Ovis aries: one gene and its partners. The main gene of each other region encodes a partner of the protein of the gene in region 2 in a complex. Links are inferred from orthologs where the notes say so. Each region holds a gene or a part of one and is shown on either strand. Other genes may lie near its edges. The genes, in order: SMARCB1, SMARCA2, ARID1B, DPF1, ARID1A, SMARCE1 and SMARCD2.

The links.
Region 1: SMARCA2 (region 2) and SMARCB1 share a complex: the UniProt entries of both Homo sapiens proteins name them as parts of the BAF complex. The link is inferred for Ovis aries from reciprocal best matches to the Homo sapiens genes SMARCA2 and SMARCB1.
Region 3: SMARCA2 (region 2) and ARID1B share a complex: the UniProt entries of both Homo sapiens proteins name them as parts of the neuron-specific chromatin remodeling complex. The link is inferred for Ovis aries from reciprocal best matches to the Homo sapiens genes SMARCA2 and ARID1B.
Region 4: SMARCA2 (region 2) and DPF1 share a complex: the UniProt entries of both Homo sapiens proteins name them as parts of the neuron-specific chromatin remodeling complex. The link is inferred for Ovis aries from reciprocal best matches to the Homo sapiens genes SMARCA2 and DPF1.
Region 5: SMARCA2 (region 2) and ARID1A share a complex: the UniProt entries of both Homo sapiens proteins name them as parts of the neuron-specific chromatin remodeling complex. The link is inferred for Ovis aries from reciprocal best matches to the Homo sapiens genes SMARCA2 and ARID1A.
Region 6: SMARCA2 (region 2) and SMARCE1 share a complex: the UniProt entries of both Homo sapiens proteins name them as parts of the BAF complex. The link is inferred for Ovis aries from reciprocal best matches to the Homo sapiens genes SMARCA2 and SMARCE1.
Region 7: SMARCA2 (region 2) and SMARCD2 share a complex: the UniProt entries of both Homo sapiens proteins name them as parts of the BAF complex. The link is inferred for Ovis aries from reciprocal best matches to the Homo sapiens genes SMARCA2 and SMARCD2.

The regions. Positions count from the first base shown.
Region 1 is NC_056070.1:71,287,378-71,291,568, reverse strand, and holds the start of SMARCB1 (SWI/SNF-related matrix-associated actin-dependent regulator of chromatin subfamily B member 1), read right to left. Parts: upstream 2,801-4,191; 5' UTR 2,613-2,800; coding exon 2,520-2,612; intron 1-2,519.
Region 2 is NC_056055.1:70,296,004-70,299,503, reverse strand, and holds part of SMARCA2 (probable global transcription activator SNF2L2), read right to left. Parts: intron 350-3,500; coding exon 1-349. UniProt on the Homo sapiens protein: ATPase involved in transcriptional activation and repression of select genes by chromatin remodeling (alteration of DNA-nucleosome topology).
Region 3 is NC_056061.1:81,522,612-81,526,111, reverse strand, and holds part of ARID1B (AT-rich interactive domain-containing protein 1B), read right to left. Parts: intron 1,117-3,500; coding exon 789-1,116; intron 1-788. UniProt on the Homo sapiens protein: Involved in transcriptional activation and repression of select genes by chromatin remodeling (alteration of DNA-nucleosome topology).
Region 4 is NC_056067.1:47,416,709-47,420,915, forward strand, and holds the start of DPF1 (zinc finger protein neuro-d4), read right to left. Parts: upstream 2,801-4,207; 5' UTR 2,696-2,800; coding exon 2,664-2,695; intron 1-2,663. UniProt on the Homo sapiens protein: May have an important role in developing neurons by participating in regulation of cell survival, possibly as a neurospecific transcription factor. Belongs to the neuron-specific chromatin remodeling complex (nBAF complex).
Region 5 is NC_056055.1:240,201,273-240,205,295, forward strand, and holds the start of ARID1A (AT-rich interactive domain-containing protein 1A), read right to left. Parts: upstream 2,801-4,023; 5' UTR 2,038-2,800; coding exon 892-2,037; intron 1-891. UniProt on the Homo sapiens protein: Involved in transcriptional activation and repression of select genes by chromatin remodeling (alteration of DNA-nucleosome topology).
Region 6 is NC_056064.1:40,602,566-40,606,795, forward strand, and holds the start of SMARCE1 (SWI/SNF-related matrix-associated actin-dependent regulator of chromatin subfamily E member 1), read right to left. Parts: upstream 2,801-4,230; 5' UTR 2,756-2,800; intron 554-2,755; 5' UTR 509-553; coding exon 502-508; intron 326-501; coding exon 282-325; intron 1-281. UniProt on the Homo sapiens protein: Involved in transcriptional activation and repression of select genes by chromatin remodeling (alteration of DNA-nucleosome topology).
Region 7 is NC_056064.1:47,814,647-47,818,641, forward strand, and holds the start of SMARCD2 (SWI/SNF-related matrix-associated actin-dependent regulator of chromatin subfamily D member 2), read right to left. Parts: upstream 2,801-3,995; 5' UTR 2,790-2,800; coding exon 2,574-2,789; exon of another isoform or gene 2,371-2,573; intron 1-2,370. UniProt on the Homo sapiens protein: Involved in transcriptional activation and repression of select genes by chromatin remodeling (alteration of DNA-nucleosome topology).

The DNA of each region.
Region 1 (4,191 bases), on a different chromosome or scaffold from region 2:
GCCCTCTTCTCAGCCTCCCTACTCCTCTTGACAGATGTTCATCAGCTGTAAAGTTCACCCTCGAAGGACCCACTTGTGCTATTTTCCCATGTACCTACCCCACTATAGTATTTTTCTTTTTTAGTTTCTCCATTTTTCATGAGTTTAGAGATTTACACAACCACGGCTGCTGAACAGCGTGAGAGAGCGGCCACAACGTCCCTCCTGCTCCTTGCTGCAGGGGCAGGCCCTTTCGAGTTACCTGGCTTGAGCGTGGTTACCATCTGGGGGTAAACATAGAGTTTCTAGGAGGTTTTTGACAAGACACTGACCCTAATGCCCCCAGTACCACCGTGCAGGTCCTGCAGGCTTCCCAGCCTCCTAGGCCCTTCCCGAGGTCCCTTCAGAACTCAGGGGACTCAGTCTGCCCCCTGGGTTTTCCCTGCACAAGCTTTTGCCCCCTCTGGACCTGGGTTTCCCAAATGGAAAACGAAGGTGTTGGTATGGAGGCCCCCTGGGCTCCCCTCGGCTGTGCCTCTGTGTGGTGATGACAGCTGCCCCTGGGGGGGGCAGGACTGGGGCAGCTGCAGACACCCTCCCAAGGCTGCTACCCCGAGTGGTGTGGGGCGCTGTAGGCACTGCTCTGCCTGGCGTGCCTCTTGGAAACCAGCGCCTGCTGTTTGCCCAGGGAAACCGCCCGGGGGCCAAGCACCCCTGCTGTCAGAAGAGCTGCTGGCTGTGAGTAGATGCCAGTCTAGCCCTGAACCCTGCCCAGGCCTCCTGAGGTCTGAACATTGTAAAGTCAGGCCCCGGACGGCAACTGCCTCTCCCTCCTGCCGTCTGGTCTCCATAAACTGCATCTCAGGACAAATCTTCTCACTCACCAAGACTGCAGTTGTCTTTCTCAGTCTGAGATGTGCTGCAGGGCAAGTTGCAGAAGCTGTCTAGCCTAAGCATCTCATCAGATGCCCGAGACAAGTGCCATGGACACCAGGCTGGAGCCAGAGCTCCTCACGCTCTGCCCACCTGACACCGGGCTCCACCCAGTAAACACAAGCTTGATTTTCAAAAGTACCACCGACTCAGAGCCAGTGCTAAACCAAGCGCTTTTCCTTCCTGCCCGTTAGATCCGGTGAAGGTTTCTTTAGTTAACCTGCCAGTCACCACATGCCGCATCCGTGCCCACAGGCTGGCGAAGACCCTTCTGAGCTGCGGCACGTGGCAGGCAGTGGCGCCTCTCTCCAGTACGGCCAGCTGTCAAGAGGAGCGTTTCTGTGATAATGTGAAAGTACGTTGCATCCGGCCCCGTGTTTCATAAAAACCGGTGAGGAAAGGAAACACAGAAAGTTCTGATGCTACTGACAACATGGGTCTCCTAACTCAATACAAGTCAGACAAGCCACAGGGAGTCACAGGGACTCCCGAAAGCCTCACTGAGTGTGACCATCATGAGGCTTAATTCATTCACAGCGTATTCCATCATGAAGAGGGAAAAAAAATGGTAAAAAAGAACAAAAGAGTGAAATGCGTAAAACTGAAAACTGCTGCCAGGAGAAGCAAGCGTCGGCGGCGTTTGTGACTGCTGTAACTCCCCAAGACCCGCACTCGCCTCTCTACAAAAGGGAGGCACTGCTGCTCGGCGCTTGCACACCTGAACTGCGGATCCGTAATTTTAAAATGTGTGTGTGGACACACACGCACACGCCGGAGACTGCCAAAGGCTGAGGGACACTGGAAGAACTTCGTATACTTGGTGCACACTGCTAACCCAGCCGGCTCACAGTGCTGCAAGGTCACTGTTTAGGTAAGGATGAAGGGGTTCCGCGCTCGTTCCCTCGCACTAACTCAGAGTTAGTCCAAGATAGCCGAAGTGCCAGGTGCCTCCCATTTGCTGATGGATCTAGCTCAGGGCTGGCTGGGCCCTAGCCATCCAAAATCAAGCATCGTTCTCCCAACCTGTCTTCTCACTGATAATGGAAGATCAGAACGCCCACCCGCCCAACTCCAAGTCAAAGAGCACCAAGCGGGTGAGCCCCCGACTAAGCTCGGTGTTTCGAATCAGCGGTTTCAGGATTCCAGCTGGGGCAACGAGGGAGAGGAGGGAGCGTGCGAGGGGTCCAACTCCTCGCCCCGTGTGCAGCAAGGGATAACCCAACACCCCGTTTCTGTACGTCCGGCTGGAGTTGTGGAACTCAGCGCGGACCCGGGGCCACCGCGACCCCCGCGGCCAGGGACACGCGTGAGCGTTCCCAGACTGCGGAGCGCGGGGCGGGGCCTGCTCGACCACGCCCCGATAGACCACGCTCTCGACCCGATCCGCCCACCGCGTCCCTGCGGGACACGGGTGGGCGTGCCCAGACGGCGGGGGCGGGGCTGCTCAGCCACGCCCCAACAGGCCACGCCCCGATGCGCCAGGCCGCGCACGCGCACGCAGGCCCTCCGCGATGAATGGAGACGCGCGTTCCCGGCGCGCAGACCCGCCCCGAGGCTCCCGCGGGAACCGGGCCGACCGGGAGGCCCGGAGGGCAAGGATCGGCTACCTCAGAGCCGATCATGTAGAACTCGCCGTCGTCTTCCAGCTGGAACTTGACGGGCTTCTGCCCGAAGGTCTTGCTCAGCGCCATCATCATCATTGCGGCGGCAGACGCGGGCGGCCACGGCCGGGCTGCGAGGATCGGGAGGGCCGAGGCGGGGCCGGGGGCGCTCCTAGCCCGGGGAAGCCGACGCGGGAGGTGAAGGGCGGGCCGGGCCGGGGGCGCTCGCGCCGCCGCTGGGCTTCTCTGCCGCCGCCGCCGCAGAAGACGAGCAGGCCGCCCTCAGTGCGCAGGCGCGGGCGTTGACGCTGACGCGCGCGTCGCCGCCGCCGTCGCCGCCCTGACAAAAGGGCCGAGCGCGCCCCCGCGGGCCGCTTAAAGGAGCCTCGGCCCGTTTCTCGGCCTTCCCGGCCGCCTCCCAAGTGGAGGTACCAGGGAAGGCCGCTCACGGGCAGAAATAGCAGCCGCCGCCCTGACTCGAGCGGCGCCCTTCCCCGTCTCACAGCCGGGGCTGGCGTGCTGCCCTGGTGAGGAGGCACGAGGCGAGGCCCGGAAGGCCGGGAGGAAGCCAGAGGCTCCCTTGCCTCAGTTTCCCCGCCCAGAGGACGCTGTGCGGCTGAGCACATGGGCGGCCCAGGGACCAGTATCCCAGCTCCGGGCCAGCCCCCCGGCCCCCGTTCCTGTGGCTCTGGGGATGGGGCGGGCATGGGCTGAGACTACCGGGCTTGCAGGATTCCTAGGCCCAGCCGGCGTCTGTTTTGCCCGCTGAGAGCTGGGGAGGAGCGAACGTCCCCGTCCTCTCCTTAACTCTGTGCCCTGTGCCTCCCCCTGCCCTGGGGCGCTGGCAGCCCAGCGGGCCGACACACAGGGAGGCACCCGTGTATCCGGTGGAGCACGGCAGTAGGTCAGAAACGGCCCACTGCTGATGGCTGCCCATGTCAGCACCTGATACCTGGCAGCTATGAGAGGCGCCGCTATGAGCATCCACGTAGGGGGGTGTGTGTGTGTGTAGCGTCTGTGTGTGTAGGGTGCGTGTGTGTGTGTGTATAGGGGCGTGTGTGTGTGTAGGGGCGTGTGTGTGTGTAGGGTGTGTGTGTGTGTGTGTTTGTGTGTGTGTGACTTGCTCCGTCATGTCTTTTTGCACCCTATGGGCTGTAGCCATGGGATTCCCCAAGCAAGAATACTAGAGCGGATTGTCATTCCCTTCTCCAGGGGGTCTTCCCCACCCAGAGACTGAACCTAGGTCTCCTGCATTGCCTGGTGGCTCAGACAGTAAAGAGTCTGCCTGCTCTGCAGGAGACCTGGGTTGGGAAGATCCCCTGGAGAAGGAAATGGCAACCTTCTCTAGTACTCTTGCCTGAAAAACCCCATGGACAGAGGAGCCTGGTAGGCTACAGTCTGTGGAGTCGCAAAGAGTCGGACACGACTGAGTGGCTTCACTCACTCCTGCATTGCAGGCGGATCCTGGGCTCTCTGAGGGTGGCAGGCAAGTAGACCCCAGAGAGTGAGGAGTCGGCCACGGTAACCTTGAGTTCGGTTCTGTGTCCTGACAGTGGCAGGATCGGAAAATGTGAGCAGCGCTTGGTGGACGATGGTCTGAGAGGCCGCTGGGGAAATGGGGAGCAGACTGAAGCCACTGTAGGCCTTCAAGCAGGACGAGATGGAGCAGGGGGGCCCC
Region 2 (3,500 bases):
TGCGGCTGTGGCTGCTGCGGCTGAGGCTGGGGCTGGGGCTGTGGCGGCGGCTGTTGCTGCATGCCAGGCAACGTCCTTTTCCCCTGGACTGCAAGCTGCAGTGTTTCAGGGAGGGGCTGGCCCCGGGCCAGCATCTTGTAAGCTAAAATCTGGGCTCGGAGCTGATGCAGCTGGACGGGACTGAAAGGAGAGGGACCCCTGTTGGGCTGGTTCATTGCCTGAGGGTCGCCTGGGATGAGGGGTCCTGGCTGGCTCGGTGGCATCTGTGGTGGGGTCGGGCCGCCTCCTGATATAGGGCTGGACACGTGCTCTGGGGCTCCCAGCGGAGATGGGTGCGGCGACATGTAACCTGGAATAAAACACAAAGGGAGAGGTCACAGGCTGCCCCCCATGACCCTGAAAGAGAAACATTCCTGGAGATCCTGACGATTTTCCACAACAGCATTGACTGAGAGAAATTTAAAGCACATGTAACTTAATGGGATTATATATAATTTAAAATTTATGTATATCAAATATATATATACATATAAAATTAAAAGAAACAGACAAAATTGTAATAATATATAATTTAAACCAACATACCCCTAATATTATCATTTCAAAGAATAAAAATTATTAGAGATTTTACATTTTTGTTTCCATATTAAGTTACTGTACATCTCCAATGGGACTAGTCACATTTCAAGCAGTGGATAGCCCGATGTGTCCTAGAGGCTTCCCTGATAGCTTAGCTGGTAAAGAATCTGCCTGCAAAGTAGGAGACCCTGGTTCAATTGCTAGGTCAGGAAGATCTGCTAGAGAAGGGATAGGCTACCCACTCCAGTATTCTTGGGCTTCCCTTGTGTCTCAGCTGGTAAAGAATCCGCCTGCAATGCGGGAGACCTGGGTTGGGAAGATACCCTGGGGAACGGAAAGGCTACCCAATCCAGTATTCTGGCCTGAAGAATTTCATGGACTGTATAGTCCATGGGGTCGCAGAGAGTCAGACACGACTGAGCGACTTTCACTTTCACTTTCACGTGTCCTAGATGGTGACACGACCTAGTAGTGGCTGTTGTACACCTAGAGGAAGGGCACAGGGGACAGTATTATACATTAAAAGGAGCTCCAACCTAGAGACCAGAACTTGAAGCTCTCTGCTGTACTGCAGTGCAGAATGAGGACTCTCTTACGGGGATATTATTTGGTTTATTATTATGCACTTTATGAGTAATTTGCCATTATTGAGGGCCTCCATGGTTGTAGGCACTAAGCAAGGCACTGTACATGCTATTTTAGCCAAGTTTACCCTGGAATCAGAGCCTGATGGAAAGACTGAGTGCAGCTGATTTATCTGAAAGGTGCAGGGATACTGACAAGAGTGTGGAAAGGTAAAATAAGGGAAGGAAGCCAACAAGGAGTGTATGGTTAAGTCAGTTGCTGTAGTGCATGCCTGAAGATTAATCTCATGCTGTGTGTGTGTGTGTGTGTCTGTGTGTCTGTGTGTGTGTGTCTGTGTGTGTGTCTGTGTGTGTAAGGTGGATGCCGGTAAATCAAAATCAAGATGGTGGTCTGGCCAGTAGATATAAGGATGATGGGAGCACAGAAATGGTAAGAAGAGTTAGAGGATACATTTTTTTTTCTATAGTCCTCACAACACTCCCAGAAGATACGTGCTGTCGCCTCATTTTTTAAAATGAGAGTAAGCACATTACACCATGTCACACAATTAGATCTTGGTAACCAAGATTCACCTGATTCCAAGGCATATGTTCTTTCCATGGTCTAATATTAATTTTGTTGTAGTAATATAAAAATAAGTTAAAGGCTTGAAAGCTTCCAAAATCTTCTAGAAGCATTTATGTGCTGCAAGCTAAGTCTCCTCAGGTGTGTCCAACTCTTTGTGACCCTGTGGACTGTAGCCCGTCAGGCTCCTCTGTCCATGGGATTCCCCAGGCAAGAATACTGGAGTGGGTTGCCATGTCCTCCTCCAGGGGATCTTCCCAACCCAGGGATCAAATCTATGCCTCTTACGTCTTCTGCACTGGCAGATGGGTTCTTTACCACTAAGGCCACCTGGGAAGCCCAGAACCATTTACAATGTAATATAAAAATGAAAGTAATCTGTTTGGGTGATAAAGAGACTTAAATGGAAAACTTAAGAATACTTAAGAAAGAAAAGTCAAAATGCAATAAAATTTTCAAGAAACTTATTTCAAGAGATGAACTGTGGAGTCTGGCCAAAGAATCCCTAGAAAAATATAGGACTGCACATTGCTGAAGGGAGATCCAAGAGGAAGGAGAGGACAGAGTGGTTTGCTGTACCCCAAAACATTGTCTTCCATTCAAATTGAGGGCTAACTCATCAACTCAAAGGCATTCTAAGACACAATGTAAAACATTAAATTAAAGGTCTTTGCCATTAATAAATCCACCTGCATCACAATTATTTTAAAGGTCATCACATAGGTGTTTATTAGGCATCTGCCGTGTGTTTCAACACTTAATCAAGTTTGAGCTGAAGCTGCACTCTGTGTCTATGTGGAATTACAGAGGCTCACGAATATCTGACCCACGCTGCCTGGGGACTCAACATCATCATTTGAAAGACTAGAGAAAATAAAGGATACAGTTCCTTTTATCTCAAATTGCCATTTGGAGAGGGAAACAAATTTAGCCTGATCCCCTAAGACAAGAGTAGGTTTTGTTCTATCAATTGGTGAGATGTAGAACTCCATTCTGAGTAATCCTGCCCTGAAGAGAAATGGAAAAGCTGCTCACTCTCATTTCCGAAATCCCTACTCTGTAATCGAGCACAAAAATCATGAAGGCATTAGGGTTCTAGTTGATCACAGAAGTTAGCCTAAGAAAATGCCCCTGCAATCAGCCCGCTCATCTGCAAGATGAGCAGAAATTCAAATCCCAGGATGTTATTTATAACAATAAACATTTTTAAGTATCAATAACATATACTTAACTTCATCATTAACGGTTTTCCTTCTTAACGAGGTTAAAATTCACCTCCAAATTGTAATGCTGGTGCAAAATGGTAGTTTGTTCATTATGAAAGTACCTCCCTAACACCTTTCTGCCAACTTTGCATCTATCACTGGAGGAAAAACTTCCTACTATAGCTACTGACATTTCATGGGAGAAGGGATACAACCAGGTGTTAAAATGGGTCACGTCTCCTGCCTTCTGGACTGTCCTCTTTCCTAAGGTCGTCACCAATTATAGCTTACCCGTGATAAATCACACGATGCCTAATACAACTGACCAAAACATTAGACAATCTAATCTAAATGTAATTGTGTAACACACTTCATCAAATCGCTCTTTTCAACTATGTCTCCTGGCATGGCAAAATTATAAGGATGAGACACTTAGTTGTACTAAGTACAATAATTCGTTTTACCTCAAAGTTGCTAAGAAAGAAACTAAGAGTGAAATAAAAATCATTTTCCAGAATTAATCAATACAACAAAATCTTCCCTCAAATGTGGTAAGAAAAAAACTAG
Region 3 (3,500 bases), on a different chromosome or scaffold from region 2:
ATCTTTCAGTGTCCTTTGTTTTAAACATCTTAACATATGTTAAACAAAATTCAAACATTTTTTTCATTTGAGTCTTTTAAAACATAGTCACTTTGCCTCATGAACTTTTAATTCAATTATTTTAAAACAGGTCGAGTATTTACTTCAAGACTTTTTTCAGGATTAAAAACAAGTAAATAATTGAGGCTAAAGCCTTGCTCTATCAACTTAAATGTTCAGAAATACAATCGTTGTTTTGCTAACTGCCTTTTGGTTTGGACAGAGAGAGACATATGCCCAGAAAAATAAAAGTACAACATAAGAACATGAAGCAATAAACCTCACACGTATACATTTAGACAAACACACACAATACACATATGTGCACATACAAAGTTCCTATTTCATAAGGATTTCTACAGTGAGGTTAAAAACAAAAAAAGGAGGCGTTCTTTTTGAATGTTTAGATTTGGGCCAGTTTCTAGGCTTTATAGTCTCCTGCCTAGGCCTCGCTGTGTTAAATGGAGCCACAGAGGCGCCCTTCACCACTGGCTTTGGGTGGCTAGGTGCGGTGACTCTTCTCAGCCATTTCAAATAACCTCCTATAACTGACTGATTCCTTCCTCCATGTCTCATAGAACACAGTCTATCATTTACTGTTCTGGCCTCTCTGATAGAGAACATGTAACTTAAAAGGGAAGGCCAAGCACAGTGGCCCTCTGCTGCTCTCCACCCCCACTGACGGGGTGACTGATTCTGGCTCCGCGTGTGTGCACATGTCCGCACAGACCGCCCGCCCGATGGCATACCTGCTTTGCGCCGAGTTCGCAGCGGCCTGCATCACTGCGGCAGCTGCCTCCTGTGCCTTACGGTTCACGGTTGGCATTGGTGGCCCCATTCCTGGCCCCCCTTGCTGAGACATGCCAGGAGAACTGGGGGTCATGCTGCTCATGTTTCCAGGAAATGGTCTGTTCTGCATGCCTGTGGATGGCACTCGTCCCAGGGGTATGGTGCCACATGGCTGGCTTGGCCCTTGTCCATGCATCTGGCTGTTGGCATTGACGCCCATGCTGGGCCCTGGGCCGCTGTAGCTTGCACTGGGTACCCCACTGTATGTTGGGGGTCTGGAGTAGTTACCTAAACAAAAATCAAACACAAATTAGAGAGCCTTGTTCTTAATATCTGAACTTGTGAAAACATTCACTGGAAGTACTTTTGGTCCAACAATGTGATCAACACAGAATATTAGTCATTATCCTCATTAACCCTTCCCCATTGGTGTTGACGAGGCTGGCTGTCTCAAAACACATGATCTCTGTACATTCCAAAGGCAAAGAGCCACACAGGACACTGAAACATGGAGAGAAACCCAGGCTGACCTCTGAAACCATCTCTGCATGGATACAGATGGAGTGCTGAGTGGTGCTTCAGCTCATTCAACACCTCAGTTCTTACCAAAATTCAAGCAAAATAATTATTTTAGCCCCCAGTCCCTAGATGTACTCCAATCTGAGACTGCACCAGTACATTACTGCTGCTGCTGCTGCTGCTAAGTCGCTTCAGTCGTGTCTGACTCTGTGCGACCCCACAGATGGCAGCCCACCAGGCTCCCCCATCCCTGGGATTCTCCAGGCGAGAACACTGGAGTGGGTTGTCATTTCCTTCTCCAATGCAGTTAAGTGAAAAGTGAAAGTGAAGTTGCTCAGTCGTGTCCGACTCTTCGCAACCCCATGGGCTGCAGCCCACCAGGTTCCTCTGCCCATGGGATTTTCCAGGCAAGAGTACTGGAGTGGGGTGCCATCGCCTTCTCTACTACATGACAATAAAGTGTTCCGAAGGTGCAAGGAAACATGCACGTGTGGTCAAAATTACCCTTTAAGACCCCACAGGAGGGGCCATGCAGAAACCTGCAATGAGTCCAACCCAGTCGGCTTTTCTCTGGTGTCTAGAGACATTTTTTTTTTTTTTCTTGGCTTGAGCACCAAATAAAGTGGCTGGGTTGTACCCGGCACCATGTCTTTTAAGTAAATTTTAAGCATAAGCATGGCACTCAGCAAAGCAGGATGGTAGCACTACAGGAAGTAGGCAGGGTCTGAGACTGAGATGAGCGTCTGCAATCTCACACCCCCATCCCTGCTCACATGGGGTACATGCTCCTGGAGTAGATGGCCTGGACTAGTTCAATAGTTTTGTTTTCTCTCTCCTTCCACACCTTTTATTTTGGTTGAGGGTACATAAATTACAGTCAAGTAAATTGAAGGCATGTATAATGCCACTTTGATAACAATAACTGCTGAACCACACGCACTATGTGTGAGATATCAGGTTAAGTGTTTTGCATCTATGATTTCATTCATTCCTCCAATAATTATGCGAAATAATGACACGACCATGACTGCATTGACAAAAGAAGAAAATCAAGAACTAGTAGGTTACGATTCAAGCTCAAGCCAAATGATTATGGAACCAATATAATTAACCAATAAAATATGATGCCTCCTAATAAGTGACTGTGGAAATGAAATATATGTAAAAGGAGAAGTGTTTGGAGACTATGGATTAGTGTTTCTCCATCTGTCCTTATCACTTCCTGGAAGAATCTTATCTACATAACGTAACTGTTCTAGGCACAAGGGATGTAAGGTTAAATACAATGCAATCCCTATACTCAAGAAGTTCACAGCGTAAGAGTGTGAGAGTATGTGTGTGTATGTGTGTGTGTACAAGGTGAAGTATCAGGGGAAAGACAAGAAAAAATACAAAAGCAAAAACAGAAAAGATAATGCACTGTAGAAAGTGTAAGAGAAAGAAGAGTAAGTCCTTGTAGGGGAGGGATACAGGGGGTCATCTGTGGAGCGGGGCGGCACTGAGTGAAGGTCTTTGAAAAACCATGTTGGGTCTTGACCCAGGAATCATTGTGGGGCAGGCTCTGGGATCTGGGAGAACTGGGGCTGAGTGAAAACTCTGTGAATATACCAACCATGTGACCTTAGGTAAGTTGTTTTAATTTTTCTTGGTTTCATTCTTTCCTTTAAAAAAGAGGATCCTCTTTATTTTGGTCTACTTGAAGAGTTGCTGTTAGGATTAAATGATGTAATATGTGTGCTGCTGCTAAGTCACTTCAGTCGTGTCCAACTCTGTGCGACCCCATAGATGGCAGCCCACCAGGCTCCCCCATCCCTGAGATTCTCCAGGCAAGAACACTGAAGTGGGTTGCCATTAAAGTGTCTCAAATAAGGGTGCAGAAATGGTCGGGGGTTACTGGTGGGATGAGAGTAATGCAGAAGAGGATAGAGAGCCCCCGTGGGTGAGGCAGTGAACAGCAGCACTGACAGCGAGAGCAAACTTGAGAGCAAGACACTGCTGAGCTGGCGCAGCTGTGAGAAGGGCGCAGAGGGAAGAGGGCCCCGCTCAGCAGGATTCCCAGGCTGGAGCGTATTCTGAAGGTGAGGAGGAGCTTCTTCAGGTTTTTCCAGCAGAAACTGGGATAGATCAGCAACAACAATAAAAGCCAGCAATTC
Region 4 (4,207 bases), on a different chromosome or scaffold from region 2:
CACACACACACCTCTAGTCTTAGACGCCTTCCACAGGCTCTCCCCCATCTCTCTCAGGTAAGGCCTTGATCTCCCTCTCCTCAAACCCCCAAAGCAGGGAGTGGGTCTCTGCTTCACATCTGGCCTAGAGCAGATGGCAAGGGGGTGAGGCACTTCACTCTGCGTCACAGATCACACAGTGCCACAGGGACACTGGCACCTCACAGTCACTCTGGCCTCCAGGTCCCCTACAGTGGCTACCCCAATCTCATCCACAGTGAGCCCTGCCCCCCCCCAACCCACCAGCTCAGCTCCAAGAGCCCTTGCCACCTTCCTCTGTCACCTCCCACCAGCCTCCAATACATCCTTACACTTGCTCCCCCACACCTCTAGCCTCAGGTACCTGGCTCACCCCCAGAACCTTGGCATCAGTTTTGCTCAGCTTGGAGCCTGAGTATAGAACACTCCATCAGCTCCCTGGAGGCCCTTGTCCACCAGTGCAATTTGACCCACAGCTGACACCTAGAGAAGGGTCTCTCTCCCCTTCCTTACCCCTAGTCACCCTCTCAGATCCCTCAGCCGCAGTCAAACTCCCATGTCCAAACAGTCCTGTCCCCATCCACCCATGCCCTGTGTGGAAACTGGACCACAAGTGAAATCAACATTGATACTAGACAGTAAAGAATCTGCCTCCAATGCAAGAGACCCGGGTTTGATCCCTGGGTCGAGAGGATCCCCTGGAGAAGGAAATGACAACCCACTCCAGTATCTTTGCCAGAAGAATTCCATGGACAGAGGAGCCTTACGGGCTCCAGTCCATGGGGTCGCAAAGAGTCAAGACACAACTGACACTCTCACTACATTTAGTCAGAGTCAGGCTCAGTACCAAGTGCTTTACAAACATCACAGCAGCAACCATGAGATAATAAGAACTGTAATGATGCCCCAGTTCACAGATGGTAACGCTGAGGCTCAAGGTGGGGAGGTTCCAATACAGGCAGTCAGAACCCTCCAGAGCCCATTCCTAAGGGGACTGGATTCTCTCAGGAGCCAACCCCTTCCCTCCCATCACCTCCTGTAGATCCCTCAGAAGGTGAGTGCAGAAAGGGCTACTGGCACTCCCACCCCCAAGCTTACTCAGGTCTTCAGGCCCCCGCAATGGCTGCCCCACACCTACTCCAAGAGGTCAAAGTGAGGAGGTCTGGATACCTATAGATCCACCAACCTGCACACGAGCCCAGTGCCAGCCAGTTTGAGGGTGTCCCTGATAGGGGTAACACGTCTGTGTTGAAGAATTAGAGCGAGAGGGAGGCAGAAGTGTCACCGTTACACACTGTCTCACGCCTACCCCAACCCCACACACGCCCTCCAAGCCGGCTTGGCTCTCCGCAAAGCCACACGTGTAGGCGCGAGCTTGTAAGGCCCGGCCCCCTCCATGGCCCAACTCCCCCCACCATCAGAAACCCGAAGCTACTGGGGGCCTTAGGTCCGGCCACCCTAGGCACAGCCTTTCCGGAGGGCGGGAGCGGGGGGCGCCCCGAGCCCCTCCCCCACCCCAACCCCCAGCACCCGTAGCTCAAGGTCAAGGTGGCGGAGGCGAGGGGCTGGGGGGAGGGTGGGGGAGGTCGCCCCGGCCCCTTTGTGCGGCGCCGCGGGCGTTCGCCCTCCGCCTCCTCCCCGCCAGGCCGGGGAGCGGGGGAGGGGAGGGCCGCGCGCGCCAGCCGGGGAGGGAGAGCCGGAGCGGCCGCGCGCCTGTCACTCCCAGCCCGCTGTCACCGTTGGGGAAGGGGGCGGGGAGCACTGGGACCCAGGAGTTCGGGATCCCGAGGAAGGAGCGAGAGAGACGGAAAGAGAGGGAAGAAGTGGAGAGAGCGAGGGCTGGCCAGGAGAGGAGACGGCTGGGAGACAGCGTAGGTTTGAACCCAGGCGTCCAGGATGCCAGCCGCGGGGTCCGGGAGGAAGCGAAGCTCGGAGGAGGCACGCGGACAGGGAGAAACGGAGGGAATCCCCGGAGACTGAGGGCGCTCCCAGCACCCTCTCCCGAGGCATCCGGTCCCCAAGGAGACAGGAGATGCTCTCATTACATGTGTACGGGCAGGGAGAGGCAGAGAGCCCACGGTCTAAACTGACCGGAGCGTCGGGGCTTTAGGTCCTGAAGACCCGGGAAGGAAAAAAAAGGGGGGAGACAGCAGGGATCGAATCGGGGACCCCGACGTCTCAGCTCCCACCCTGCGGCCGCGCAGACCGAGGTTCCGGGAGAAAGAGAGGGGAAAGAGAGAAAGATGCTTTTGAGGAGGTAGAGACCTGGGAGACTAGGGTCCGGACTTAGGCATTCATACTCCCAGCCCCAGGCAGGGGCAGACCCGGCGCCCCGAGAGACTCGGAGGAGGAGAAGGAAGCCCCTACCCCCACTCTGGGTGGGGAAACGGCCTCCGCCACCCCCAGCCCGCGCCACATTCCTTCACTGACAGCGACAAAGAGGCGCCCCCGCGACCCTGGAGTGGCTCCTGCCCCCAGCCCCAGGAGGGAGACAGGGGGTGGCGGCACGCCCCGGGGGGACAGGGGGACAAGCTGGGGGGCCCATTCAACTACCATCCGCCCACTGCGTCCCCCTCCCCAGCGAGGGCGGGGGCAGGGTTCGGGTTGGGGGCGGATGGAGGGACGTGGACGGCGGGGACACTCACGACTTGAGCGGGTTCTGAATGGCGGTGGCCATGGCCCGCTCGGCTGGGCCGCCTCCGGCCCGGGGCGCCGCTGCCGCTGCGCGCGGGCCCAGCCCGGCCTGCGCCGCCCGCTCTGCCGCCCAGCGCGCTACGATTTCATTCATTCTTGGGGCTGCAGCGCGAGCGAAGCGGGGCGGGCCGGGGGCGGGGCTCGGCCAATCCCCGCACCTCCCGGCGCACGACGGGACGTGGAGTCTAGGGGCGCTCGGCGGCGCCCGAGGGCGCCCCTGTCCGGACTACACGTCCCAGGGGGCGTCGGGAAAACCGTGTGCCCATTGGCTACTGAGGATACAGGGCGGGACTGGACTCGCCCCAGAGCATCCTTTCCCTTCCCTGGAGTGCTCCCTTCCCAGCTCTGGCTCTCCATCCTTCAAGAACCACGGGCGCGCGGGAATGGGTGGCCGCTGATTTCTGGATCTCCCCTGGGTGTGTGGATGATCCCAGAGTCTGTCGTATATTCTTGTCTTTGCCTACTTCTCTGGTGTCTCTTCTTTTGTAAGCCAGTCTGTAAACAAGCACAGGGGTTAATCCATGCCTTTGTTCATTTATTAAGTGACAGGCACTCTTCTAGGCACTGGGGAAACAACATGAACAACAGATAGAATTGCTGCCCTCAAGGAGGTGAGCTGTGAGTGGGGAAAAACAGATGATAAACAAGCAAACAAGCTGTTAATTTTAGAGAGTGGAAAGTGCTATAAAGAAAGTGGCTTCTCTGAGGAGGTGACATTTGAGCTGAAACCTGAGAAGCTGTCACCATGCAATACACAGAAGCAGGAAAAGCTTGACAAGTTCAAAGATTATTGTGGAAAGCTAGTGTAAAAGAGTCGAGTGAGTGAGGAGGGAGACAAGGTTAGCCAGAGAGCAAGGAACCAGATTATGTAGGGCCTTGTAGGCCATTATAAAGAAAATGGATTTTTGTTCCAAGTGCAATCAATCATCCTTGACTCTTCTTTTTTCACACACACCTCAAGTCCATTATCAAATCCTGTTATCTCTACATTCACAAATAGATCCAGAATCTACTCACCCTTCTCCCTTCACAGCCTCCGTCCTAGGACTCCCTCCTCCCATCATCTTCCCCCTGGACAGTCCCTGACTATTCTCTCCAGGGTAGCCAGAGTGAACTGCGTAAAACAGCTGGCATCACCACGCTGTCTGGCTCAAAACTTCCAATGACTTCTTTCACACTTGGAATGAAGTTCTAAGTCCTCACTATGCTCTCAGGGCCCTACTTAAGCAGATCCCCAACCTCCATCTCATTTCCTCGGTTTATTTAGGCTGTGCTGGGTCTTAGTTGCAGCTGCCAGGATCTTCGTTGTGTGGCATGCAAACTCTTAGTTGCAGTGTGCGTGCTGGATCTACTTCCCAGCCAGGATGGAGCCTGGCCCCCTTACATTAGGAGCACAGAGTCTTACAATCTGGACCACCAGGGAAATCTCCCCACTACATTTCTGATCTCATCTCCCTTCTTTTCCTTGACTAGCTTTGCTGACTTATTAGAAAAG
Region 5 (4,023 bases), about 170 Mb from region 2:
AAAGGCAGATAGTGGCAGCGATGGTTTGGGTTATCACTGGCAGAAAAGCAGAGTGTAAAAGTTTATGAGCTCATCAGGATTGTTGTACCATTACATCAGAGGCAATTATAAATGGCCAAGAGCAGGAGATGGGGAGCCAATCAGATCACAGATAGGATGTCAACCTAAGACCAACTGTCTCCTGGCTTTGACAGAAGGATTTTACCTCCATAATTCAAATCCCAAACCAAAGCAATCTGCACTTACTACTCCAATCACTCAGCTGTTTACCAGCACTTCCAGGGAGAAGCCCAGGCCACTGGGCCGACGGAGACTAAGACAGGAGACGACCTGGGCTGCCCAGGGTGAACCGAAGCCGGGCTCTAGCTGCTCCCAAGCAGGCCCCTGCCCTCCCTCGAGGTCCCCCCGAGCCCGAGGGGCCCCCTCCTTGAAAGCACAGATGGGGACCGGCCTAGAGGAAGGTAGGGAGGGCAGAGAGGAGCGGCAGGTGAGCAAAGAACTGTTCACTCAACTCCCGACCTCCGAGGGCTGCCTACACCCCTAACCTGAGCCCCCAACACCCCCTCACCCCGGGCCGGGCCCTTTTCCCGCACACCCGGCTCCGCACCCCTCTGAAGACCCCCCGGAGCTGGAAGGGACCCGGGGAGGAGGAGGAGGGGAGCAGACACCTCAAGGAAAGCCCCACACAAAGGCTGAAGGAGGGAAAGAGAGGAAGGCAGACGGGCAGCCATTTTAAGAGAGAAAGAGCGAGACAATGGCAGCTCCCCAGCAGTGGGGGCCCCAGACTGGGGGTAGCCCACGGCCGTGGCCCGCTCCCCGCCGCCGCCATCCACTCCCAGGACCCCCCCGCCCCACTCGCCACAGCCCCCCCTACCCCACCAGCCGTGTTACCTGCGGGGTCCGGGCGAGCGGCTGCCCCCCGCCGCCGCTGCTCCCAGGGCTCATGGGCGCGTGGTGGCTCCTTTGTTGGGCCCCTCCCGAGGCGGCCGCGGCCGCCGCCGCCGCAGCAGCAGCAGCCCCCCAGCACTGAGAGGCCATGTCCGCCGGGCCCTTGCCGGCGCCCCCGTCCTGGGGCCCGCCGCCGTAGTCGCCCCCGGGGTAGCCCTGGTAGCCCCGGGCCGAGCTGGGCGACGTGAGCAGTTGGTTGAGGGTGGGGGTGGCGGTGGGCTGGGGGGTTCCCCCTGCGGCCGCTGAGGGGCCGCCTCCCCCCATGGCCCCGAAGCGCTGCTGAGCGAAGGACGAAGACGACGAGGAGGCGGAGGCGCTGGAGGAGGGAGGCGGCTTGGAGCCGGCGGCCGCCGCCGCCGCCGCGCCGGAGCCCGGAGTGCCACCTCTCGGGGAGCTCAGCGCGTAGGCCTGGGGGGGCGGGGGGTAGGCGCTGCGGTTGGGGTAGTAGGAGTTGTACTGGTGGTTGGGGAAGCCGTGGTCGTGCGAGTTCTGCTGGGGCCCCGCGTAGGGCTCCAGGCCCCCGCCGCCGCCGCCGCTCTGCAGCGCTGCCAGGCCAGGGCTTTGTTGTCCGCCATGTTGTTGGTGGAAGACGGCGGCCGCGGCGGCGGCGACGGCAGACGGGCTCCGGCCGTAGGGTTGCCCGAAGCCGTAGGCTGGGGGCGGCAAGGCGGCCGCGGCTGAGTGAGGAGGCGCCCCCACCCCGTCGCTGCTGCCGCCGCCACCGCCGCCGGGCGGCTCCGTGAGGTTATTGTTCAGGGCGGGCCTAGGGCCCGCGTTCCCGTTCGAGTTCTTCAGGTCCGGCTCCGCGCCGGGCCCGCCGGCTCCGCCGCCGCCGCCACCCCCATTGCTCTCGGCCCCGTCCTGCAGCTCCTTTCCCAGTGGCTGCGGCGGCCCCACGGCGGGGCCCTCGCTTTCCTGCCCGGCGGCTGCCTTCATTTCCCCGCGCTCCGCCGCGACCGCCGCCGCCGCCTCGCCCCCCGCCTCCTCCCGCTGCTGCTGCTGCTGCTGCTCCGCTTTCTTCAGCTCCGAGGGCGGCGGCGGCGGATTGCCCAGGCTGCTGGCGGCGGCGGGGGCGACCTGCGCGGCCATGATCCCCGCTGTCTCGTCCGCGGAGAGACCCGGCCCTGTCTTCGTCTTCTCTCACCCCCCTCCCACCCCACCCCGCCCCGGGGCCGAGTCCCCCCGGGCTTCCCTCCCCACCCGCCCGGGCGGGCCTCGCGGGGCTCCGCGGCTTTTGCGCTGCGCTCGCTCGCTCGCTCGCTCGCTCGCTCCTCTCCCCCCCGCCCCGCCGGCTCAGGCTCCGGGCTGGCGGCGGCGGCGGAGGAGGAGGAGGCGGCGGCGGCGGCCGAGGCGCCGGCGGCTCAGCTGCTCCCGGCTCTGTAAGCTCGGGACCCGGCTCTCCCGGCTCATTCCCCCCCAAGCCCTTGCCTGGGAATGAGGGGGGCGGTGGAGGCTCCGCTCCCCAGGGCCTGGCCCCGCTGTGACTCTCCGCTTTCTGCTGCCGGAGAAAGGAGGGAGGGAGGGAGGGGAGGGAGGGAGGCGAGGGGGAGGGGGCGGGGAGGGAGGGAGGGAGCGGGGGGAGGGGGACCCGGGACGGGCGGGCTGGAGGGCGCGCGGCAGCAGCCCGGGCGCCGGCAGGCAGAGTCGGAGCGTGGGCCGGGCCGGGCGCCCTGCCTCCCCTCCCCGGCCGCGGCGCCGGGCCGAGGCTGCTGCGCGGCGGCGAGCGGGCGAGCGGGCGGGCGGCCGGACTGAGCGGCTAGAGCGCCCCACTCTCCTCCGAGTCCCCCTCACTCCGACACGAGGCTCAGCACTGCCATTTTACCCAGCGCCGTCGCGGCCGCCTGGCAAACCCGGAACGGAGCGCGGAGCGGGGCGCAGGCCGTGGAACGGACTCGCTCCCTTCCCCTCACAAAGGAGGAGGGGAGAGAACCAGCCGCGGCGGCGGCGGCGGCGGCGGCAAGCGCTCTGCCGCTCTCGCTCGGCAGCGCCGCCGCCGAAGGCTTCGGGGAAAACCCGGCCCGGAGCTCGCGCCTCTCCGGAGCCTGCGCGCCGCCTCCCTCCTGGCCTCCCTATCCAGGTCGGTCCCCTTCGCGCCGCGGGCAGCGTGAACTTTACTCGCGGCTGCAAAATTGGCCTGAGCCCGAGACCGCGGCCGCCTCGGCCCAGGCCTGACCCCCCCTGGCAGCGGGCCTGGTCTCTTGGCCGCTACTTAGCATCTCCGCGGCACTTTTCCTTCTTCAAAGCCTTTTGCAGACCTGCTCCAAAGACCCAGCTGAGCTTTACGTTGTATCCTCTTTGCAAGCTGCATGGAATGACAGATCATTGTTTCAGACTTTCCGTTTTCCCACTCTCTGCCCTCATTAGCCGGTCCTCACAGGCCCTGGGGGCACGAAGTTCCTGATCCCCATTTTACAGACTCATAAGATAGCGAAGGGGACCGGCCTATCACTTAGTCTATCACTTACAAAGACAAGGGCAGTGGAGGGTGACTTTAAAAAGTAGCAGAGTCCCCAGTGCTGCCCCTGTCTACTTAGCGTTAGAAATAATAGTAATAAAAAGAAAAGTGGTGCCATATACAACAGTGGGATCAGAACATCAGAATGGGTTTGAGATTCAAGCTGGTCATCTCAACCGATATAAAATGGTCACCCCTGAAGATATTTTGGGGACATATGACCGCCTTCTTGGAGGAAGACACAAGCCCCACCTTTGCCCACAATGACCAAGGTCCCGTCTCCAAAGACAGTACCTGTAAGACTGTAACAGACCACAGAAGAGACTCCAGGGACTGGTGGAACCTGAGTGTTCAAAGGAACCTCTGCCGAAGAGGGATGACCAAGTAGAGGGAACCGTTTTCTCCTTAAAAAGAGAGAAAAGGTGCAGTCTAACACCTCACTCAGAAAACAGATGCAGCCTAAATTTGTTTTTCTATCCTTCATTGTAAGGAATCATTAAAGTTTACTGTTACATTCTAAGAGATGCTGAATGGGAGATGCTGAGTGAACTGGAGGTATACACAGAAAATTCTAGATTCACAGGCTCCACCACATCTCAGCAGCAGCCTTGTCCTCTGAC
Region 6 (4,230 bases), on a different chromosome or scaffold from region 2:
TTAATAGAGATGAACAAGAAAAGTGTTAAACTTGCCACTTATTTCTAATTAAAAAAAGAACTGAGCATAGGAGGTTGGCATTTCAGTAGTATGTTTCTTTAAATGTTGGGGTTGGTTCAAGGTAAGATGCAGAGTTATTTTATTTAGTAGGAAGTGCTGTTTTTTAGCTGAATTTTTCATCCTGTTGCTGTAATGATTGAGTGACTGTCACTGGAAGACATCTGGGTTTTTGTATCAAGGCCAGACTTGGCTATTACATTAACAAGAAAATTAAAACTTACTGTTGCAGGAGCTGGGGTGGGAGGTGGGGCATAAGATGGTCTTTCTGTTTGAAAGAAAATAAATAACTTCTTGTAAACAACTGAGATATAATACTATGCAACAAAACTACCAATGGTCCTGTTTTGAAGAAAAAAAAATGAGAGTATTTTGGAATTCCCATTTGCTAGGGCATTAGTCTCTTATTAATATAGATTGATAAATATAAAAAATGAAACTTACTTGACATTTTGGAAGATTAAGTTCTCAGTTCCTTAAGAATGAATCTGAGACACTAAAATAAAAAAAAGGAAAAAAAAAGAAAAATAAAGATAATCAAAACTCAGCAAGCATAAGAGAATGTTTTTCTAAAGAATAGGGTAGTTTGATATTTCTTTGTAAAATTACATTATCTTCTAGTAATCAAGCCTTTTAAATATTTTACTAGTTCTTTAGGTCACTCAGTTGATCAGAATTAAATGACTAAAACAAATGACAGGGGATATTAAAAAGTAAAATTAGACATGTACTTGCAAGTTTTTGTTTTTTTTTGATACTGAGCCACCTCTTGTATGGAAAACGTTTCGCTGATGCCATGTAAACATTTAATCAAATCGGTAAAAATACAATGACAAAAGAATATGATGTATTATTGGGGCCTACCTCAACAAGGCCTACCAGACACTGACAGCTCCATGACCAGCCACAGCTCTGCCTTCCTTTTAGGATAACAACTTCTTTCTAGTAAAACAGCATTTTACTCCTGAAGGCAGTGGAAAAGGTAACTGGTGTGACAAGAAACTTCACATTCTCTTATAGGAGTAATGGAGCTTCCCTGGTGGCTCAGCGGTAAAAGAACCCGCCTGCCAACGCAGAAGACTTGAGTTCAATCCCGGGGTTGGGAAGATCTCCTGGAGAAGGAAATGGGAACCCACTCCAGTATTCTCCCTTGGGGAATCCCATGGAGAGAGGAGCCTGGTACCCTATAGTCCATGGGGTCGCAAGAGTCAGACACAACTGAGCCACTAAAAAACAACATGATGGTAAACAGCTTCATAACCGCTGGGAATAAATTTCGAGAGTCTACTGGAAAAAACTCTTATTGATCTTTCTTAGCTCAACTCAAAATATATCTCCTCAATGGAGACTTCTGGACCTATCTGTACAAAATTAAATGTTTCCTCATTTGTACTCCAATTTACACAGATCAATATCATATTACACCTGCTAATATGGGGGCTGAATGGAGACAGGGACCAGCTAGTTCATTATTGCTGTCCCAGTACCTAGCTCAATTTTTACCAACTTCAGTCCTAGTAACACTAGCTCAGGACATGACCACACACACGTGAACTTGTTCCTTACCTCACTATACATTACACACCATGTGTACAAAGAGATGAACATTCATTTTCACAAAAAAGGCAAATAACTTCTATGACTACTAGAGTATTTTCATCCGACATTATGAGAAACAAACATGATTTTTTTTTTGCTCCTGTTTTGTATTTTAAGGGCATTTCTGGAGCATTATGAGTAAGAGGCCTGGTGTGGAAAGAAAGAAATCATTTATTTTCTCAATGGCCCAACCTGGGTCTCCCTCTCTCCTTAAGGTACATGCAGGACACCAGAGTCTAATGCAGATTTCCTTCCTGCTCAAGCTTGGGTGGGCTGTCAACATCCAGTAGGCCTTGCTGTGGGGGGCCCTGATAATATCTGCCACAAGCTCCCAGGTGTGTCACATTTTATTAACACTCTAAAATTACTGGTCTCTTTTGCTATACCATAAATTTCAAGAGTGATCTCGTACAATTGTCCACCACTGTATGCATCTCCGGTGCCTGGCATAAAATCCTGGAGAAGTTATTTGTTGAATACCTTATACGGGACAGGCTTACTACTTTCACACCATCTGGTTTAACAGTCACACTACCAACGAGGTGTGTACTGCTATTGCCATTTTACAGAGGGAAAAAAGGAGTCTCGTTCAGTATAAGTAACTTGGCTCAAGACACAGAGTCAGGAAGTGTCAGAGCTGGGTTTCAAACCCAGGCCAAACTGTTGCCCAGCTTTCGCTTTTCACTCCAAGCCACACCGTGAGTCCTCAGATCGCTGCCTGGGCAAGGGGAAACCATCTTCCTGGGGGTGAGGACCACGGGCTTAGCTTGCCCCAAGGGCTTCCTCTGAGACCGATTCGGTTTGGTTTGATGTGTAGGTGCACTTTACCAGCTACTCTACTGAAGAGGAGCATGCAGAAGCGCCTTGACCACTTCCGTGGGGTTAGTGGAAGGGGCACTTCTGGCCGCCCAAGAGGAGCCCCAGATGGGACTCTCTCCCCACCCTCGCTCCGCTAGGCCTCAAAGAGGCCGCAGCCGGCCCCCGGCCCTGGTCCCGCGGCCAAGCCTGAACCCCAGCAACCCTCAGCAACCCCAGCCAAGCCGGGACCCCACGCCTCTCCACCCTCCCGACCCAGCCGGGCCCAGTCGGAAACACTCACCCGCGGGCAGAAGAAGCGCCCGCAGCTCCGGCCTCGCTTCCCTTTGTCCCGCGCACGCCCCGCCCCTCGCGTCCCGAGCTTCCGCGCTCGCACTTTCAACACTCTTCTTAATTCCTTTCCAGGCCCCACCCGACTCTCTTCAGGAAAATAAGCGTTCTCGTGGGGACGCGGTGGTGTTTAGCACAGTCAAGGATTTTTTTCAGGCTCCATACGCTCCTCAAAACTCCCCGAAAGTCAGTACTTTGCCAGCCGGGCGCCGATTCGTCACTCCGGAGAGGGAGGAGGTGGCCCGGCCGCGGGTAGGCCCGGCCGCGCGGCCCCCAGCGAGCCGGAGCGGGGACGGGAGGCGCGGCGGGAGGCGCGAGGCTGAGCCGAGGGGGGGCGCGAGCGCGGCCTCAGCTTCCCCGCGCGGGGCCGGAAGGCGGCGGGGAGCGCGCCCGGTCGCCAGCCCCGGAACCTCTGTGGCCGCGCGGCCCGCGCACCACCCCGGCCGGGCTCAGGCCGCGCACGCCCCCCGTCCCTGCCCCCGAGAGTTTCTGGGTTTTTTTTCCCTTCCGGTCTTTTTCTTGACTCTTTCTCTGGGAGCTGGAGTGTATATACTTCACCAAGCCGAGGATGGAGGCGTGGAGAGCCGGGTTTACAGTTTCCGTCCTCCTGCGCGCCTCCCAGGGCTTCCTGCCTTAACCGCGGGCAAGAGCTTTGGCGAAAGCAGCGCAGATCTTCCCAGCTGTTCCCAAGCGCAAGGCTGGTGTAATTGTCACAGGTTTCTGAGCCAAGGCCCGGAGATGTAAATCTCCTTGCCCCCGGTTGTGTGTCCCTGCAGCGCTGGGCAAGGGGTCTGTGTCCTAAAGCGCCTTGGCTCATTCGGTTTCCTCTGCCAGGAACGACAGTCCTTCACTTTTGGGTTTAAACTCATCTGTCCTTCCGGATCCAGCTCAAATTCTGTCCCTGATGCCCTCCGGGAACTCCCTGCCTCACGCGCCCCTCCTCCTCCCAAATTAACAATTATGGCCTTTACCTAATACATTGTATCAGACTGTGTTTGTTATTCTCAGTACTCTATGAGAGCCTTGAAAGCAAAAATTCAGCGGTCTGCATTGGTCATCTTCCTATAGCCAGTGCCCAGTAAGGCCTTGAACCATTGTAAGAAGCTCAGTAAATCTATATTGAGGCAGGCTATGGTCTAGTCCAGGACTCTTTTCACTAAATCATGACCACGTTGATGTACTAGATAGCAGCCTCTCCTTGGATACATAAACACTTGACCGACGTGCGCCACTGCAGAGAGGGGAAGGATCTGAAATCACTTGAGAATGGTGTTGACGTTTAGAATGACTTGATTCTTCAGCTACCCTTAGCCACCATCCTGGGTGTGCCAGCAGGGACTAGGGTATCTCCAGAAGTATGCAAAGCCAGGGACAAGTGACCCTCTGTCCAGTTCTTCCACCTCCAATATTTTCATGTTCATGATTAGA
Region 7 (3,995 bases), on a different chromosome or scaffold from region 2:
GGCCTGGAGGAAGCCTGCGAGGCCCCCCAGCTCGCCCAGGGCCCCAGACTTCTCCCAAGGTGGGAAGGGGCCCCTGGAAAGGCGGCTTACAGTTCCTGCAGTCCCAGCTCAGCCTGGCCAAGCTCCACACCTGGGCTCTGAAGCACCAGTAATTCCTCCTCTTCTAAAAAACAACCCAAGACTTAAAAAAAAATTAAAAAAGAACAGAGCCCTGATCTCTTAGGCTCCCTGACCCCTTTCCTGCAGCAGGGATAGGGAGGCCTGGCTCCACGCCCTGAGCCTCAGATGTGAGCAGTAACCTCCTCTCCCTTAGCCCAGCACAGTCCATGTCCTCAACCGGACTCTGGATCCACCACCCAGGACAGCAGGGGTGGGAGGCCAGTCTGGCCCCTGGTGCCTCTGAAGGCTGGGCCTAAGGACCAAGAAGAAGAGAACCTACCTCTGCAGACATACAAAATATTTTCAACTCTCTGGCGTGAACCCAGCAATCTCTGTTCTTTGTGGGGCGGGGTGGGGGGGGGGGGGCGGTGTAGTGTTTGTTTTTTATTTTAATATTATGTTTTCTTTAAGCTCATTAGTAGACCGTGACCCACAGCTTGAAACACTCTGTAAAGAGGTGGGGTCATCACTTCCCTGCCACCAGTAAGCTCCCCTATTTGCCCAACGTGGGCTTGAGAGCCTCACTCCTGCAGCTCACCTCACATGCCCCAGCAGAGACACACCCCCTGCTCCTCAGATCTCAAGTCCCTTCTCCCAGAAGTCACATAACTGGACTTGGAAAGAGGCCACATAGGATCCTCCTTGAAGTCAGCAGACATGAACTGGGCCCTCCCTCCCCCTACACGTACACACATGCCCCTTCCCTGGAGGAGGAGGAGGCCATGAGAAGCTGCAGGGGAAGCCCAGAGAGGCAGAGGCTCCGTGCCTTCCTCAAGGTCCCCTCTCCTGGAAGCCTGGGGTACCCAGCCAGTTAGCTCAGCCTTGCCACCGGTCCAAGGCCACTCCCTCCAAATCACTCTGGAATCCGTCCTCTCAGGGCTTTCCCCAGGCTTAGGAAATTAGAGAGGCTCCTATCTAGTCCTTGGAGCCTTCCCCGGGGCCAACGGCCCCCAGGGAGGCTCCTCAGCTAACTCACCTAAGAGCTGGAATGACAGACCCAGGGATCCCTCAGTGACACCCTGGGCCCATGAATCCCCTGGAGTGAGAGCAAGATGGGAAAGATGAAAACCAGCTGGAGTCTTGGGGACCAGGTCTGTCTCTGTCAATAGCCAGATCCTTGGTTCAGAGAGAAGAGGGAACATGAGGTGCAAGAAGGAAAAATCACTGTCCCAGTGAAGCATCTCTTCACAAAGTGGGGACCCAGGGCTCCTACTCTATGAGGAACCACTTAGGGGACCTTTACCTGGGTGCAAGAGGGAAGGGAGACATGAGAATCTCCCAGCTGCCCTGAGAGATTAGCAAGACTTCCGTGTCAAGTGCTGGGGCACACAGATTGGAATATGTTGTTGTTTAGAACCTAAAGGCTAATTAAAAGTGGAGAGGAGGGCAGCAAAAAGGATGAGGGCAATTCCCAAGCATTCTGGGGAGAAACAATGAACTTGGGGACTGGTAAGCCCCACCCCCAGTGTGAGGCTGAGTTCCTCACACACTGACCCCACAGTTTCTCCATGGCCTTTGAAGCTGCAACCCGAGAAGTCCTCTGCAAAGCCAGACCCAGAAGGGGTCAGACAGAACCCTTTGAGGCAACTCTCTGCAGGCTCCTCCAGCCCCAGACCAGCAGTACTCAGTGGTGCCTCTCTGTTCCTCCAGACTAATCAACTCCTGGACACTATGACACCAGGCAGAAAGCCAGAAAGTCTGTCCAGAATGGGCTAGGCTTTCCTCCTTCCTCAGGCCTGTCCACCACCCTCTCTGATCTAACCCAGAGGCATCCCTGTGTGAAGGTGCCAGGGCTTGGCCCAGTAGTAGATTCCCCTTGCACGGGCTGCAATCCCCATCCTCTGCCTTCTGTGCCCCTGGGAAGCCAGGCCCTTCTTCCTCCTCCTTAGCAGCTGGGAGCCATCTCAGACACGCTAAAACTCTGCCAGTTCCCAACTAGGGGGAGAAAAAAAAACCCAGAGCAGACTTGGAGTATGACCAAGACCAATGCAGGGTAACCCTGCTTTCTCAATGAGGGCTCTTTCCCAAAACTTTCTCATCACTTCCCAGGACCCTTTACCCGAGAATCTATACTAGATTTCTCATTCCACCCGTCCACAACTCACTAGCTTCGACTACGCCTCCATCTCTCAGTTATTCAGAATCCCCGTTCCAAGGAAGACCCCCAGACGCTCCCAAATGGTTCAAACCCTCCACCCGAGTCGCTCTTACCTTCTCCCTCAAATCCTCCACCACCACCTGGCCGAGCCCGAGGGTCCCTGCCCTTGCCCCCCACCGTGCCCCCCACCGTGCCCCGTGAAATCCGCATGCAGAGCTTCTGTACCCCCTATTCAGGAGGCTGCCCCAGGGCCCTCACTAGAGGCCCCCAGCCCCGGGAGTGCTCGAGGCGCCGCCCGCCCATCCGCCCTCCTCACCTGGTACTGCGCCGCCGGGCCCGCGGGGCCCATGGGGCGGAAGGCAGCGGCCCCGGGGCCCCCCACGCCTCCAGCCGGCCCAGGCCCCCTAAGCGCCGGTCCGGGCAGCATGCCGGGTCCCGCTGGCGGAGGCGGCGCTCCCAGGGCCGCAGCAACCGCGCCGCCGCCAGGGCTCAACGGGGGCAGCGGGAACCCGCCCGCGCCACGGCCCGACATCGCTCCGTCCCGTCCGGCGGTGTCTCGGTCCGGACTCCGGGCTCCGCGCTGAGTTCGCTCCGCACTCCGTGCTCCGGGACTTTCCGATCTAAATTCCGGGTTCTGGGTTTTGTTGATCCGGATTCCGGGCTTTCCTAATCCAAGTTCGCGAGTTCTTCAGAAACCCACTTTGGGGCAGGGCCGATCTTGATTCCGGTCCTGCCCGGAAAATTCCGGATCCGGGATCTGCTACGGGCCCGCTGCCTCCCCGGGCCTCCGGAGGTTTGGCCGCCAGCGTCCAGTTACCCAGAGGCGGTAACTAACTCCCTGCCCCGCCTAACCCAGCCCAGCACCAAGCCCCGCCTATACCTAGTCGCCCAATGCGAGGATGTCTCCTCAAATCCCGCCCCTCGCGAGACCCGCCCCCAACAGGCACCGCCCCTAACCGCCGAGCCCCGAAGCCCCGCCCACATCCCTTGGGTCGGCCCTCCACCGGAGGGGCGGGAGCGGAAGCTGCACACGGAAATGCGGTAGGGGGGGTCAGAGGTCGAAGGTCAGGAGGTAAGAGTACGGTGTAAGAGTAGTTGCTGATTTCTCCTAGGTGCAGCCGAATCCCCGAGGTACCGGGTCACGCTCCCTGAAAATAGTTTTGTCCTCGTTTCTACGTTTTTAGAATTAAAGACAACGAGCTGCTCTCTGCGGCAGGGCAGCTGCCAACTTGACTTTAAAAGCCAGAGCTGCCAGCGGACTTGGCTGCTCCGGACCCGATCCACTGTGTGAAGGATTGAATTGGCCAAGCGCCGAGCTCTTATCGCCTATTTTGAATGTGCCTCTGCCTCCCATTAAGGAAACCTAGTAATAACTTTACTCTACAGGAGATGTTCCTAGGCAAAGGAATTTTGCATTCCGAGAAGGCTCCTAGAGTTAAATAAGGTCTGTCTCCAAGATTTATAGCGACTTTCAAAAGTTCAATAACTTTTCAGAAATCAGCCCTAAGTCAGAGGTACTCAAAAGTGCTTCAGCCTTGCCAGGTGTTCTGTGACTTTCTCTCCATGATTCAGACCAGTGCTCCTCAAACTCTAAGGAGCATAAGAAACTGCTGGGCTTTTGTTTAAAATGCAGACTATGATTCTGTAAGCTTGGGTTCTAGGCTAGGGATCAAGATTCTGCATTCCTAACAAGCTCTCAAGCAATGCTGTTGCTACTCAGTACACTTTGGAGTACCGA